2 linked regions of the Elephas maximus indicus genome follow. Each later gene encodes a partner of the first gene's protein in a complex. Links are inferred from orthologs where the notes say so. Each region holds a gene or a part of one and is shown in the gene's direction. Other genes may lie near its edges.

Evidence for each region. The genes of interacting proteins can lie anywhere in the genome.
Region 2: the proteins of RBSN (region 1) and RAB4A are in contact, whole or in part, in a crystal structure (PDB 1Z0K), measured with the Homo sapiens proteins. The link is inferred for Elephas maximus indicus from reciprocal best matches to the Homo sapiens genes RBSN and RAB4A. Residues at the interface, in NP_001289307.1 of Homo sapiens: Glu441, Gly442, Trp443, Leu444, Pro445, Ser447, Glu454, Pro458, Leu459, Gln461, Gln462, Asn465, Ile466, Phe469, Asp480, Glu481, Thr484, Leu485, Asn488, Leu492, Glu495, Gln499; in NP_004569.2 of Homo sapiens: Tyr10, Leu30, His31, Ile34, Glu35, Ile46, Gly47, Val48, Glu49, Phe50, Gly51, Ser52, Lys53, Lys63, Gln65, Trp67, Arg74, Phe75, Ser77, Val78, Ser81, Tyr82.

Annotation. Positions count from the first base shown.
Region 1 is NC_064838.1:38,698,278-38,705,613, forward strand, and holds the start of RBSN (rabenosyn-5), read left to right. Parts: upstream 1-4,244; 5' UTR 4,245-4,334; exon of another isoform or gene 4,335-4,443; intron 4,444-6,859; 5' UTR 6,860-7,031; coding exon 7,032-7,179; intron 7,180-7,336. UniProt on the Homo sapiens protein: Rab4/Rab5 effector protein acting in early endocytic membrane fusion and membrane trafficking of recycling endosomes. Required for endosome fusion either homotypically or with clathrin coated vesicles.
Region 2 is NC_064821.1:209,902,710-209,910,326, forward strand, and holds the start of RAB4A (ras-related protein Rab-4A), read left to right. Parts: upstream 1-4,611; 5' UTR 4,612-4,697; coding exon 4,698-4,728; coding exon of another isoform or gene 4,729-4,943; exon of another isoform or gene 4,944-5,085; intron 5,086-7,617. Other genes in the region: serine/arginine repetitive matrix protein 1-like, read right to left, coding at 2,788-2,808, 4,728-4,943. UniProt on the Homo sapiens protein: The small GTPases Rab are key regulators of intracellular membrane trafficking, from the formation of transport vesicles to their fusion with membranes.

The DNA of each region.
Region 1 (7,336 bases):
GCCACAAACCAGGAAATGCCAAGGACTGCTGGCAACCTCCAGAGGGTAGAAGCAGCAAGGAAGGATTCTTCCCTAGAGCTTTCAGAAGAGAATGGCCCAGCTGACACCTTGATTTTGGACTTCTGGTCTCCAGAACCAGGAGACAACAAGTTTCTGTTGTTGAAAACCACCCACTTTGTGGTACTTTGTTACCACAGCCTTAGGAGACTAGTAGCAACTCATTTAATCCTCCACCCTAGGAACAGCGACTATTATTATTGCATTTTACGGGAAACTGAAGCTCAGAGAATTTGAGTGATCTGCTTGGAGCCACACAGCTACAAGTGGCAGAGCTGGGATCCAAACCCAGGGTGGCTGCCTCCAATGTCTGTGCTTCTATCCACCATACCTTGCTACCTCCCTCCTTACTCCATGTCTTATTTCCTCCTTTCTCTGTGTCTTTCCTGGCAGAAGCAGCTACCACCTGCTCCCCTATTCACAGCCTAGCCTGGCACCCTCTACCCATTCTTCAGACAAGGCCCTGCCTCCCCGTGGTCTGCTCTGGGCCACAGCAGCAGCTGGCAGAGGCCTGGGATCTGGAACTTGGGCCAGTACGGGGGAGCGAGACCTTTGGGGCATTACGTCATGTGCCACACACCTTCCCCTGATGTCCACATCATGATTTCCCTTCCTATCAGGGATTTTGATGGGATGCCAAGTGCCTTGTGCTACTCAGGATAAACATATATAGACAATAAGGGACCAGAGAGAGACATAGAGCTCTAAGGTACAAGGGGAGGTGAAGAGGTCCAGCTGCCGGTGATCCCGCCATTAGAGTCAGCTCCCTGTGGCCTGTGGTTTCGGGCAGGGCTTCCAACCAGTTCAGTCATGGCCGAGGAAGCAAAACAGGAAGAGACCTGAATCAAAAACAAAAAAAAAATTTTTTTATTCTACTTTAGATGAAGGTTTACAAAGCAAATTAGTTTCTTATTAAACAATTAATACACATATCATTTTGCGACATTCGTTGCCAACACCACGACATGTCAACACTCTCCCCTTCTCGACCTTAGGTTTCCCGTTACCAGCTTTCCTGTCCCCTCCTGCCTCCTTGTCCTTGCCCCTGGGCTGGTGTATGTTTTGTTTTATGGGCCTGTCTAATCCTTGGCTGAAGGGTGAACCTCAGGAGTGACTTAGATACTGAGTTAAAAAGGCATCTGGGGCCATACTCTCGGGGTTTCTCCAGCCTCTGTCAGGCCAGTAACTCAGTTTTTTTTTTTTGTGAGTTAGAATTTTGTTCCACATTTTTCTCCCAATCTGTCCAGGACCCTCTATTGTGATCCCTGTCAGAAAGGCTGTCGTGGTAGCTGGGCACCATCTAGCTGTGCTGGACTCAGTCTGGTGCAGGCTGTGGCAGTTATGGTCCATTAGTCCTTTGGACTAATCTTTCCCTTGAATTTTTAAAATTTGGGTGAACTGGAATGATACCTGGAACAGGGAGAATTACAGGTCAAAGCCCTGCTGGAAACTTAATCTCCCCCTTAGGAAACAGGGGCAGCATACTCATTGCATAGCTATCAGTTGTCTTGCCCATTGGATTTTGAGCTGAGCCGGAAACAGCGGTGCCCTGCTCAAAGATGGCAGTTGACTTCACAGCTTGGAATGTGTGTCACTCTCTGCCTTCCTGCCAGTAATCCAATCTCACGCATCAGGCTCCTGAAAGGGCTCACTACATCTCTTCTGAGTCTCCCATTCCAGGAGTTCAACCTGTAATTTTTCCCATTTCAATTATCATTCCAGATCACCCAAGTTTAAAACTTTGAGTCTGTTCTAGTTTTGCTTCATTGACCATGACTAAACTGGTTTGAAGCCCTGGTTTTGGGAACCAGAGCCAGTGCCTTCACATTATCATTCTAGGTGTGAACAAACTTTCCTAGGTTTTCAAAGGACTCCTGTTCTTCCCCACAACCATGCCTTTGCGTATGCCCCTCCCCACCCCGCCTCCTGGAAGGCCTTTCCCAACCCTCTCTACCTGAGGGTTCTGCTCCTATGTTGCCTCCCTGGAAACCTGCCCTGGATTTTCACAGAGGGAATAATTAACCTCTTCTCTGATGCCGGAGCTCCTGCACACATGTGCAAACTCTTTTTGAATGTGTCTGTGTCCCCCTGATGGCTGAGCCTCCTCCAGGGAGACTGCCCTGCCTCCTCTCACTCTCTCTCTCTTTGCTTGGTACATGGTTGGTGCCTGGGAAATGATGAGAGATGCAAGAATTTTCAGTGTTCAGGTCTGGACCCCAAGGAGGGGCGGGGTTTGAAGGCCTCGAGGCAAGATGACTCTGGGTTCAACATTTACAAGCTGTGTGACCTTTGGCAAATCACCTAGCCTCTCTGGGCCTCAGATTCTTCATCTGTAAAAATGGGAGGGATATTAATTTGTACCTCATAGGGTTGTATGAGAATTAAATGGTATGTAAAACACACAGAACAGTGCCTGGCATGTGCTAATCACTCAGTAAATGTCAGTCATTATTATTGTTATTTTAGAAATGGGAAAAAGAGTAGTTGGAAGGATTAACTAATGTATTGAATGTGGAAGTGCTTTTTATAAACTGTGAAGCACACAGGAAGGTCTTTGTTACCATCATTTTTGAAAATATCAATAGAACATCAGTGAGTCATCTTCAAAACACAGTTCAGATAACTAGTAAAAAAAGGTCTGTCTTGAGCATTATGTTCTTTTAAGAATTATCTCTATGGGATCAAATTGACAACAGCAACTTGAAAGATTAGATAGGAACCTCAGAGGGTAGTGAGTTTAGGTTAATGAGGTAGGAACATCTTAGAAAAGGAGGGTGAGAATGGTCGCAATCAATGTCATTAAATTGTACATGTAGAAACTGTTGAATTGGTGTATGTTTTGCTGTGTATATTCTCAACAGCAACAAAATTAACTAAAATTTAGAAGGAAAAAACAATTGGAACATCAGTGGCAGAGCCATCATGATTCTAGCATTAATTCACAAGCTGCAGGTCACATTGCCATGGCTTTTTCGAGCAAACCAAAGGGTGAATGTGATACTGGTTTTTGTGGATGATAAAATGCCAGGCGAACGCATGATGGTTTAATACAAGGTTCATCCTCTGACCGCAATGATATTCCCACCTGTAAGCATGGCTCCACAACCTATTGCCATGAGTAGGGGGCCATCTCGGTGGTAGCTAACAACAACAACAACCGCCCCTCATTTAATCCTCATAAAAACCTTATGAGGTGGAGACTATTATCCCCATTTTACAGATGGTAATACTAAGGATCAAAGGGGTCAAGGAAGACCAGGGATCTGGAACTCCAAGGCCCAAGCCATCATGCTCTGCAGCTCTTGCTTCTGAAGCCCAGGCCACTGCTAAGCCCAGTGTCTCACCAGCACTGGAATTAGGTTTTGTCTCTATATACTTTGTGGTTAGTGCTGAATAATCCATCCTGTTTTTTGAAATGTCACAGATTTGAACATATTGTACGTCCACTGGATACGCCTTCTCATTCCAAGCGCACACACTTATGTGGTTCTATTCCGAGTTTTCCCACATCCTCGGCTTTCCTCAAGTCTTCCAACTCTAGCTCTCAAGGACTTTGACTCTCGAATTAATTTAGAACTGCAATTGGGAGTGGGGGTAGAAGGCGTTAAAGACCCCCTCTGCTGACTCATTCACTGGCACAATGAACTATAAAAAACCCAATCCATTGCTGTCAAGTCAATTCGACTCATAGCGACCCTATAGGACAGAGAACTGCCTCATAGGGTTTCCTAGTCTGTAATCTTAAAGAAAGCAGACTGCCACATCTTCCCCCACCCTGCAGAGCCACTGGTGGGTTCCAACTGCCCACCTTTCGATTAACAGCCGAGCACTTGAACCACTGCACCACCCAGGATCCTTACAAAGGAATTATCCAAACACAAAAAACCATCCAGTGGCTTCTGACTCATAGCGACCCCACAGGGTTTCCAAGCCTGTAAATCTCTATGAAGCTGACTGCCACGTCTTTCTCCCGCGAGAGCCGCTGGTGGTTTCCAACCAACGACATTTCGGGTCGATGGTTTTAACCACTGAGCTACCCGCCGTTCTTAAGGCACCTACACATAGCCCGCCGGTCCTCTTCGGGCGGGTGGAGTACGTTCCCGCCCCTTCACGCCCTCGAAGACTCGGCGCTCTACGGGCGTCTGCCAGCCTGCCTTCCGGTTTTGGCACCGCCTCCGCAGGCGCGCCTGCCGAGCACCGAGCCGAGGATGGCGATGGCGGCTGCAATGGTGTAAGGGGCTGTGAAGGCCCACAGCCCCGGCGGGAGGACCTGACAGGTCTGCGCGGCCGCGGAACCCCGACCGGTTGCAGAAGCCAGGTCGAGCCTGGAGGGCGGAGGCGTGGCGCCACTCGGCAACCGAGACAGGCCGGCCGTGCGGGCGTGCGGTGTGTGTGACATACGTGCTGGGAGATGCGGCTTTTGGGTTGTGCGTTTCGCTTGTGTGTGCTTGTAGTGATTGGGCTCTGTGTGGTTATGCGGGGAGCGTACGGTTGGTGTTTGGTTATGCGGCTGAGAAGCGGGTGGCTGTCTCCTGAATGCTTGTGTTCAGTTCTCTGGTTGTGTGAGGTTGAAGCGTTCGTGCTCAGAGTTTGTGTGGGGTTGTTTGTAGTGTTTGTGTTGTGTCTGCGGCGTGTGGAGTTGTCATGTCTGTGCTCCATGGGGGTTGGGTTTTTCCAACAGTCTGTGGTTATACGACGTGTGCATAATCGTGATGTGTTATGTGGGCCAGTGCTGTATGCGGTCTTGAGGCTGTGGTGAGCGCGGCTGCGGGAGGTGTAGTCTGTGAGGCATGTGGTAGGATAGCATTCAAGTAGGACGCGTAGTTGTAGGATATGTGGATTTTATTTTTATTTCTTGTGCGATTTGGGGTTTTGGAGCTTGCATATGTATTCAGTTATGGTTGTGGGGTCCAGTTAGGTGGTGTGTGTTTGGCTATATGATTTTGGGGTTCCTTCATTCATTCACGGGCTTACTGCGTTTTGACTATGTGTGTGCCAGGCACTGTGCCAAACCCTGGAGATATGATGGTTGGGAAAACAGACGTAGTTTCTGCCCTCATAGAGCTTACAGTCTTGTGTATTTAGTCACTTTACATACGTACGTGTGATTATAAATTGAGATGAGTGTTGTGAAGAAGTACAGGTGCTATCAGATGGAGGGTGTGCCTCCAGTCAGAGAAGGCTTCCTTGAGGAAGTGGGGTTTGGGCTGGGATGTGAAGGGTGAGTCTGAGGGAGCCTGTGGGGGCGGTGGTGGTTAGTATTTGATTTGTGGTGGTTATGGGTGAGTGCAGGGGAAGGAAGTGGGCTCTCAGAGTCAGAATGTCAGATGGACCATTGTCTGGAGAGAGAACAGATCAGACCTGGGGCTACAGTTTCCGTGACCATCTAGAAAAGGAGCTGGGAATTGCGTGTGTGTAGTCGTTAAGCTGGTTGTTGTTTGTTGTTAGCTGCCATGGAGGTGGCCCCTGACTCATGGCAACCACTTGCACAACAGAAGGAACTGCTGCCTGATCCTGTGCCATCCCCATGATCAGCTGTGGGCTGGACTGTTGTGATCCACTGGGTTTTCATTGGCTTATTTTTGGAATCAGGTCAGGCCTTTTCTCCCAGTCCATCTTAGTCTGGAAGCACCCCTGAAACCCATTTAGCATCATAACATGCAAGGCTCCGCTGACAGATGGGTGGTGGCTGCACATGGGGTACATCAGCCGGGAATCAGATCTGGGCCTCCTGCATGGAAGGTGAGAATTCTACCACTGAACCCCAGTATTTCTTAGCTAGAGGAAAAAAACTGGGACCTGGGGTCTCCAGTTGATTAGTTTCTGGGTCACTGCCACTCTTCAGGTTTGGGGCCAAGAAAGTCCCTCTTCAATGGCCCTCTGAACAAGTTCATCCAGAGCTGAGGGTCACAGCTAGGTGTGGCTAGAGTTCCCCTGAGGAGAAATTTCTGCTTTCGTGGAATGTTTTTATCTGGATTCTTCCTATGGCTGGGAGTCTTTCTTAGGCGACCTTGGAAGTGACTTTGCCATGACCCAATGAGCCAGAAAATGTAACTTATTAAGTCCTGAAATCCTTTTGTTTTTGAAGCAGTGAGAACATTGGGCCTGCTGTTCAACTGCCACTAACTGATTTATAAAATCTAGTAAGCTCATTGGTGAGACAGTGCTCTATAAATATAAAACGCAAAACAGATTGTTCTTTTCATTACACTAGGTTTTGTAATGCTCCTGCTTTGACTGAGATGGGTTTTTTTTTTGTGTGTGTGTGTGTTTGGTTTGTTTTGGTCTGGTTTTTTGTTTGTTTTTTAGGGCAGGCACTCTGTCTTTTTCGTCTTTGCATTCCTGGCTCAGATGCTTTGCAGGTAGCAAAAACCCAATATATGCAGTTGAATAAATGATCCAGGTAAAGAGAGTCAAATAAAAACTACTACTTGGTGATGAATACTTCAGAAATTTCTTCAGCGGCCACGGTGGCATCAGATTATGAAGTTGGACCATTTGGAATAATGTGAAAAGAATTGCCTTGGTGTTGTGTTTGCTTTTGAAGTTGAATTTTCCTTTCTGGTCCTCAAGACTCTCTTCTTCCTGCTTCAGTGAGTTTCCGTTGTCCAGTGACATTCTCAAAATCTTAGACGACTTTGTGTTTTTGTTCTAAGGACTTGAAAAAGTAGTTTGCTTTCTTAAACTTGCAGTGACCAAACATTAAGAACCTTTGTTGAATTGTGAAAAGACAAAGAGGATTTTCAATTGCTGCTAATTTGTCTGAATTGGGTTTTTTCCCTCTTCTTCTTTCCTTTCTCAGGGCTCTTACTACTCCAGAGAGGAAACCTCATCCAGGGCCGCGATGCCACTTTCCCGTCATCAGTGTGCTGTTTCGTTAAGCTAATGCCGCAGGAGCCCTGGCCCCTTGTGGAGGAATCAAGCTGACTTTTGGCATGAGGCTGGTGCCTTGTGGGGGTTGAGAGGGCACTGCCATGGCTTCCCTGGATGACCCAGGGGACGTGAGGGAGGGTTTCCTCTGCCCTCTGTGCCTGAAGGACCTGCAATCTTTCTATCAGCTTCAGTCACATTACGAGGAAGAGCATTCAGGAGAAGATCGTGACGTCAGAGGACAAATTAAAAGTAAGAGGCACATGGGATGGTTTTCATCAGCTTCCGTGTTGCTACCAGAATATAATAATCAAATCAGTTAGTATAATAGTAGCAAACACATATCTGGTGTTTACTATGTGCCAGGCATTGTTCAAAGTTCTTCCTGTGTATTAATTTAATCTTTACT
Region 2 (7,617 bases), on another chromosome or scaffold:
TTGTATTTTGAGTCAATCTCCTTTGAGATATAAAAGAGAGAATTGAGCAGAGAGGAGAGGGACCTCATTATCACCAAGCAAGAAATGCTAGGAGCAGAGCACGCCCTTTGAACCTGGAGTTCCTGTGCTGAGAAGCTCCTCGACTGGGCAAGATTGATGACAAGGACCTTCCCCCAGAGCTGACAGAGAGAGGAAGCCTTCCTCTGGAGCTGGCACCCTGAATTTGGACTTCTAGCCTCCTAGACTGTGAGAGAATAAATTTCTCTCTGTTAAAGCCATCCACTTGTGGTATTTCTGTTACAGAAGCACAAGATGACTAAGACACACGTAAGAGCCAATAATCCCCTGTCCAAAATTCTAAAAATCAGCCAACTTAGGCATGCAAAATGACATTAGAGAACTTTGGGGGACAGATAGAAAACTTCTGTATCATGATTTTTGTGGTTGTTACACACTGTGTACATTTGTCAAAACTCATTGAATCGAACACTTAAAATTGATTATTTTATTGTATGTAAATCATACCTCAAAAAACTTGATTTAAAAAAATTTTTTTTTAAACCACTCATAAAAGAAAATTCTGGCTCAATGTATTTGGTAGGGATTGGCGAGAAAATCCAAAAGGAAAAAACACTTGTTTTGCAAACCATCTTTTTAACAAGAAGCCAAGCCAAAAACAGACCATTTCATATGCACGTGAAAGCTGGATGATGAATAAGGAAGACTGAAGAATTGATGCCTTTGAATAATGGTGTTGGCAAAGAATACCGAATATACCATGGACTGTCAGAAGGAGGAACAAATCTGTCTTGGAAGAAGTACAGCCAAAATACTCCTTGGAAGCAAGGATGGTGAAACTTGATCTCACACTCTTTAGGACATGTTATCAGGAGGGATGAGTCCCTGGAGAAATATATCGTGCTGGGTAAAGTAGAGGATCAGCAAAAAAGAGGAAGACCCTCAACAAGATGAACTGACATAGTGGCTGCAACAATGGGCTCAAACAGCAACGATCTCGAGAATGGTGAAGGACCCAGCAGTGTTTTGTTCTGTCGTACATAGGGTTGCTATGAGTCGGAATCGACTTGACAGCACCTGACAACAACAACAACAATGAAAACATAGAAACATAAAGGAAGGATAATTCTATGGTACTTTTCTATCAGCAAACAGGTAGGAAAATGAAATTAAGTGGATAGAAGACCCTTGAAAACATGCTTAGCAATGTAAGTCAATCACAAAAGAATATTGTATAATCCTGCTTATACAAAATATCTAGAATAGGCAACAGTATATACAGACCTAGGTTTATTAGTGATTACAGTGGGTGGGTAGGAGGAAGGGTGGACTTGTTGCTTAGGGGACACTGTGCTTCTGCTAAGGGAAATAGAAATATTTGCAAACAGAGAATGGCAATGGCTGCACGACATGATGAATACGCTTAAAGTCACTGAATTGTACATGAGAAAAATTGTGAAATGGCAAATGTTTTGTTACATATATATTTACCACAACTATAAAAAGAGTATTCACTGTATAAAGTCAAAACAATAACAATGTATTTGGGGCTGCAGAAGTATAACATCAACAGCACAAAGCCTGGGGGTCGGGGGAGAAGAGAAGCAACCTGTGGTAAACTTCCTGTATTCTACACTTCCTGTCCTCTTTGAGACAGGTGTAGCCACGTGACTTGCTCTGGCCAATGGAATGTAAATGGAAGTGACTGATATATATATATATAAATTCTTCATGGAATCTTTAAGAGCTAACACACAATTTGTCGATTTCATTTTTCTGCATCGGTGATCACAGAAGCATGTATTTAGATGAAACTTGAGTCAGCCAGGGTCGATAAGTGCCTCCAATGAGCCCAGCCTCTCCGCCAACTGGCATGGGGCAGGTCATCTGAGTGAGAGATCAACTTTGTTAAGTCACAGATATTTTGAGAGAGCTTTGTTACCGCAGCTAATTTAGCTCATCTAACTATTTCTTAACTATTTCTAACAACAGAGGTGCCCAGTCAGAGGTGGTTTTGTTTGGCACTGGAAAGCAAGCTAGCATGGTGGCCTCTGAGGTCTCTTCCAACCTGAAGACATGAATTATATGCCATAGGCTTTACTAGCCTGGGTGGCCAACTGAGGTCACATTTCAAGCTCCCTTCTGCATGTGCAGAATTTAGCTCATTTCAATGTAACACCCTAGTATTTCTTAGTCCTCACTTGCTCAGAAAGAAGTCCCCTCATGTTCTTCAATGCCATTACCATAGAAAGTCACCACGCCACTAAAGCTGTGGCCAGTGTCCTCCATCAAGCCTAGCTCTGCCAAGGATGACATGTCCCCTCGTTCCCAATGCTGCTGCTCCTTGCAATTCAGAACCAGGCTGGATTCTCATCCCGAAGCCTTTTTAGGGCTCCCGATCCAGGGGCTGTGCCACAGTTCCAGATCTGACCCTCTCCCAAGGATGCCAGAAAATCTCTTCAGTCATCATTCATCTGTCCCGTTGGTCACTTCACTTACCTGTCCTCACCTATATTGTTCTCTACCAGTCCTAGGGAACAGGAATCCTTGTGAGGTTGGCAGCACCCTGAGGCTCCTAGTCATTTAATGTGAAGTCATGACACATTCTTGAACATTGCCAGGGAGCAGGAAGAAAAACAGCAGCTACTTGAGGGAACCACTGACCTAGGAAAAGTGAATGGGATCTATTTTTAGTTGGGAGAAATCTTTCTCTCTTCATTTTTCCTTTAGATGAATCTCCAATGTGCCTAGGCTTTTGGAAAACTGCCTTCACTCTGCCACAAACCTCCCCTGGAAGGAAAGGAGAAAATAGTTGGCAAAAACACAAATTAATTTTGCAATAATTTTTTCTTCCAATCAACAGTACCTCAGATTCAAAGGAGCCTGAGAATATTTAAAAGAAACTTGTTTTCTTTCGAAGACCCACAGTTACTGAGATGCAAAGTACCTTTCTACATTTGTATTCAATGATATTTGGTTCTTTCAAGACAGTTCCTTAATATTCTTTTTTCTAGTTGTGATTTTGGCTTTACACTTGCAAAACTAAATAATCTCTTTGGGTGGTTTTTCCAGAACAAACAGGCTTTCCTCAAAGACCTAAATCTTTATTTTCCACAAAATAGAAAATTGCTCACAGCTTTGCAATGACAGCTTAATTTTTATTTCTATTACCCTGTCCAGGTTTCAGAGCTTTTTCAGGCAATAACACAAGCTACAGGTATCCAGTGACGCCTTTCTCACCCACAGCAGCTCCTGGCAGGAAGAAAACTCCTGCCAGTCTTAGACCTAAAGAATGGGAGACCTATCTTCAGGTGAGGCTGTCTTTTTCCCACTTCCTGGATCACTATCTTTCCCCTGAAATGTTTTAATCTGTTAAACTTGGGAATCTAAATCAAACCTAAATGCAGAAAGCCAAACAATACAGCAATAAAAAATCAGCCATGGAGCAACAAATACACACAAAATAATTCTAGGAAATTACGACTCTTGAAATATGGGGCCTTCTCTGTAACTTAGAAACAAGAGCATTTATTTGCTATAGGATTAGAGAGAAGAGTGAAATCTAGAGCCAAGTAGCCATGGGGGAAGGGGGGAGAAAGAGGCCTCAGGGAAGGTCTGGTGCCAGCTTACGTGGAGGATGGAGCCAAATGGTTTCGGGGAAAATGTCGGTGCTGGAGTGTTGCCACAGTCCAGGCCACTTGGGAAGCCTGAACTATGCTTAGCCAAGGCACATTTTAGCGTTCTACTCTGTCTTCGAAACAAGGTTGGGCCCTAAGAGATACACGTGTGGCCCTGGTCATAGTCGGTGCATCAAACTCCCAACCAAAATTCCTTTTCCAGACAGAACGGGATTCTGGATTCGGCTTTGCTCTTTATACCGGAATGCCCAACCAAGGATCCTCCTAACCTCAGAAGCCCATCATCCCCAGCTGGGAGTCGGGAGGCCCTTCCTGCTGACTGTGAGCATTCCCTAACAGTGGGGCGCAGAGCTGGCGGGCTGCAGCCTTCGGGGCTCTGCAGCACCTGTGCACGTTGGCGTCCGTGTCCCCCACACCCGCTCAGCCTCGCTGAAAAGACTGGGTTTGAAAGTTCGGCCTGTCGGCAGGTGAGCTTGTTTCCCTCTCACCGGGCTGACTCACGCCCGCAGCCACAGGTACGCTCTGGCTGTGCACCTGCGCCGTCCCTGCTAGCTGCACATTAACCAAGCTCTGGAGTTTGTAATCCCAGCGTGAAGGGAGCCTTCTCCCGGCCGCGCGCCCCAAATGACGACGGTGAAGTCTCTCCCAAGGCTGGCCAGCTTGCACCCGGACCCCTTTTCCCCCTCCCCCGGGCCCTTCGGCTGCTCAGTGCGCGCGGCTGCAGCGACCGCCCCTCGGCAGGCCCCGCCGCCCCTCGGATGCCGCCCCCACCCGCGCGAGCTCCGCCTGCGCACGCGCGCTCTGGCGGCCGGCCGCGGCCCTCCCCGGGAGCGGCGGTGTGCGCCTGCGCGAGCCCGGCGGTCCGGGCCGAGCCGCAGCCGCGGGGTGGCGGGCGGTTGCCGTGGGAGCCGCCGGCCCCTCCCTCCCTCCCCGCCCCCACCGCCGCGCCTCCGAGACGCAGCGAGCGACCCCGGCCCCCCTCGCCCGCCGGCCGGCCCGCGCTGCAGCCGGTGACCCGGGGAGAGGCGGCGCCGCTCCAAGATGTCGCAGACGGCCATGTCCGAGACCTACGGTAGGAGGCCCGGGCGGCCGGGTCCGCGGGTCCGGGGTCTCGGGCGGGCGCCTCCGGGAGGGCGGCGGGGCCACGCACGCCCCCCGCCTCTTCGGCTCCCGCCGGCCTCGGCCGGCCGACAGCCCTGGCTTAGTCCGGCGGGCGGGCCGAGACCCGGCTCCACCTGCGGTTTTGTCCCAGCGAGGGGCCAGAAGGGCTCGGGGCCACGCCTGCATTTCAGTGTTTGACCTTTGCTGGTTTTCAGTTCCTTCTTTTCTGCTGGAATTGCATCCCTTCCGCAGGTGGCCTCTCAGATCACTTATTTCTAGCTCCTAGGGGTTTTTAGCCCGTTCTGGCTTGCAGCGGTCTTGTCTCCGTTTTAAGACCGTAAGCACCTTGGACGCAAAACCCTGCCTGATCTTTGTTTCTCCTACAGCGTGGAGAGCTGAGGTGCTCAGCAAATATTTATTTGAATAAATGAAAGCCTTCGCAGTTCACAGGCAGTGTTGGTTTTTAACAGCCCTGGGTGGTAGGAATAAACAATACCGTATCCTTCTACTTGGTATAAGGGTTGAGCACGTGTTTACCAGCCTCTAATCATTTTAGGAGCCCAGGTGGCTGTGGCTGCTAACTCAAAGGTCAGCAGTTTGAATCCACCAGCTGCTCCTTGGAAACCCAATGGGGTAGTTCTCCTCCGTCCTGTAGGGTCGCCATGAGTCGGAATCGACTTCAGGGCAGTGGGTTTGGTTTTTGGAATCACTCTTTCAGGTGTATGTATTCTCAGATTAAGACTTTGGTTGGGAGTTTTTGCAGCCTTGGAGAGAGAGAGGCTCAGGTTCAAAAGTATATGCCTCCAGCCAGCCAGTCCTGTCTCCATCTCTCCAGGCATTTGGCTTCTGCAGTGACTGTCATCCCATTCCACAAATGAGTGTGGAAACTCTGTGGTGAAGCTAGGTGCTTTGGTGCTAGGCCCTGTGCATGTGGCAGGGAGCCCAGCAAAGCTGGTCTTTGGTCTAGTGGGGAATACGGTGTTAATTATGACACTAATGAATGAGTAATAAAAACCCAGACAACATTCTGAAGAAATGTAATGATCTAGAAGTGTGTGAAAAAGAAAGCTGGCCCAGACCGGGGAGTCGAGGAAGGTTAGCAAGGCAGCACCACAGAACAGCTTGTGCCCAGGCCCTGAGGGGAATGGAACTCCAATAGAAGAATGTGGTTTGGCATCCTGGAGGAGAGGGATGAGGAAGAAGCACAGAGGGAAACAGGGCCCTCGGTGGGACAGGGCTTGGTGAAGGGTTTTGGTATTTCTCCCAAGAGCAATGAGAAGCCTTTGGTGGGGCCAGAGTGGATTTGGTCTATCTTTGACCACTACTGTTCTTTGTGACAGTCGTGGCATGATGCCCTGTTCTTAGAAGGCATAGGAAGCCCTCCATGAAGTCACAGGCTTCATAAGCACCGGTCTTGTCAGAGCTGTAAACGCCAGTGTGAATCACGTCCATGTGGTCTGCTTCCCTCTGTTAACTGGTTCTGTCTACAGTCATGAACTTCATAAGGAAAATATATTTCTCTAACAAATGCTGGCCATACCTTTACTTCTCTATTTTCAAGTGTCCCTTCCCCACACTTTTTTTCTTTAACCTAGGTAAGTTGTAGTGGGGAGGAATGGGAAGTCTAAATGAGAAAATGGGGTGCAGGGGGCAGGGGGAGTCCATGAATTAATTGGTATGAAAGGAGGACAGACTGGAATAGTTCAGGAGATTAGTTTTTAAGTTTTGGTTTTCTTGATATGAAATGATAAAATACAGTATAACTTTGGCGTCTAATTCTTCACTTTAGACCCAGTTCATTGAATTTTTGAGCATCATAGGTTAACTAGTTAAACCCTGATCATAAGGTTTTGAGCATTAGTGACTTAGTTATCCAGTGCTGCTACAATAGAAACACCATAAATGGGTGGCTTTAACAAACATTTATTTTCTCACAGTTTACTAGGCTAGAAGTCTGAATTCAAAATGCCGGCGCTATAGGAAGGCTTTGTCTCTGTCAGCTCTGGAGGAAAGTCCTTGTCTCTTTGAGCTTCTGCTCCTGTGTGGTCTTCATGTGGCTTGGCCTCTCTCTTCCCCCATCTCTGCTTCTTTCACTTGCTTGTTCAATCTTGGTATACCTTAAAAGAGATTGATTTAAACATATCACCCAGTCTCATTAACATAACAAAGACAACCCATTGCCAAATGGAATTATAACCACAAGCATAGAGGTTAGGATTTATAGCACATATTTTGGAGGGTGGGGGGGCACAGTTCAGTCCATAGCATTCCACCCTTTGGTCCCCCAAAATTCGTGTCTTTCCCACATGCAAAACACATTCACCCCATCACATCGTCTCAAAAGTCTTAAATCAACTCTAAGTCCCAAATCTCATCTTCTAAAATCATCTAAATCCAATATGGATGAGACTTTAGGTGTATTCCATCCTGGCGCAAAACTCCTCTTCATCTGTGAACCTGTGAAATCTAGACCACAAGTTATCTGTTTCCAGAGCATAATGGTGGAATAGCACAAGGTAGACATTTCCACTCTAAATGGGAGAAATTGGAGGGCAAGAAGGGATAACAGGTATCAAGCAAATCTAAAATCCAGCAGAACAATTTACATTAGCTCTCAAGGCTTGAAAATAATGCTCTGTTCTTGGGACCATCTGGGCAAAGCGGTCCAGACTCTGGGTGTTGGCTGCGCTCTTTGGATTCTAGGTGGAGACCCCTCGGCCCACTGGAATGGCAACCCTGCTCCCTTGGCTTTGGTGGCCTCGTTCTCCTAGTTCTACCTGAGTGGTGAACCCACACCCTTGGCACCAACAGGCCCTGCTCTTTTACCCCTTGGGCATGGCAGCCCCACCCCCTCAGCTTT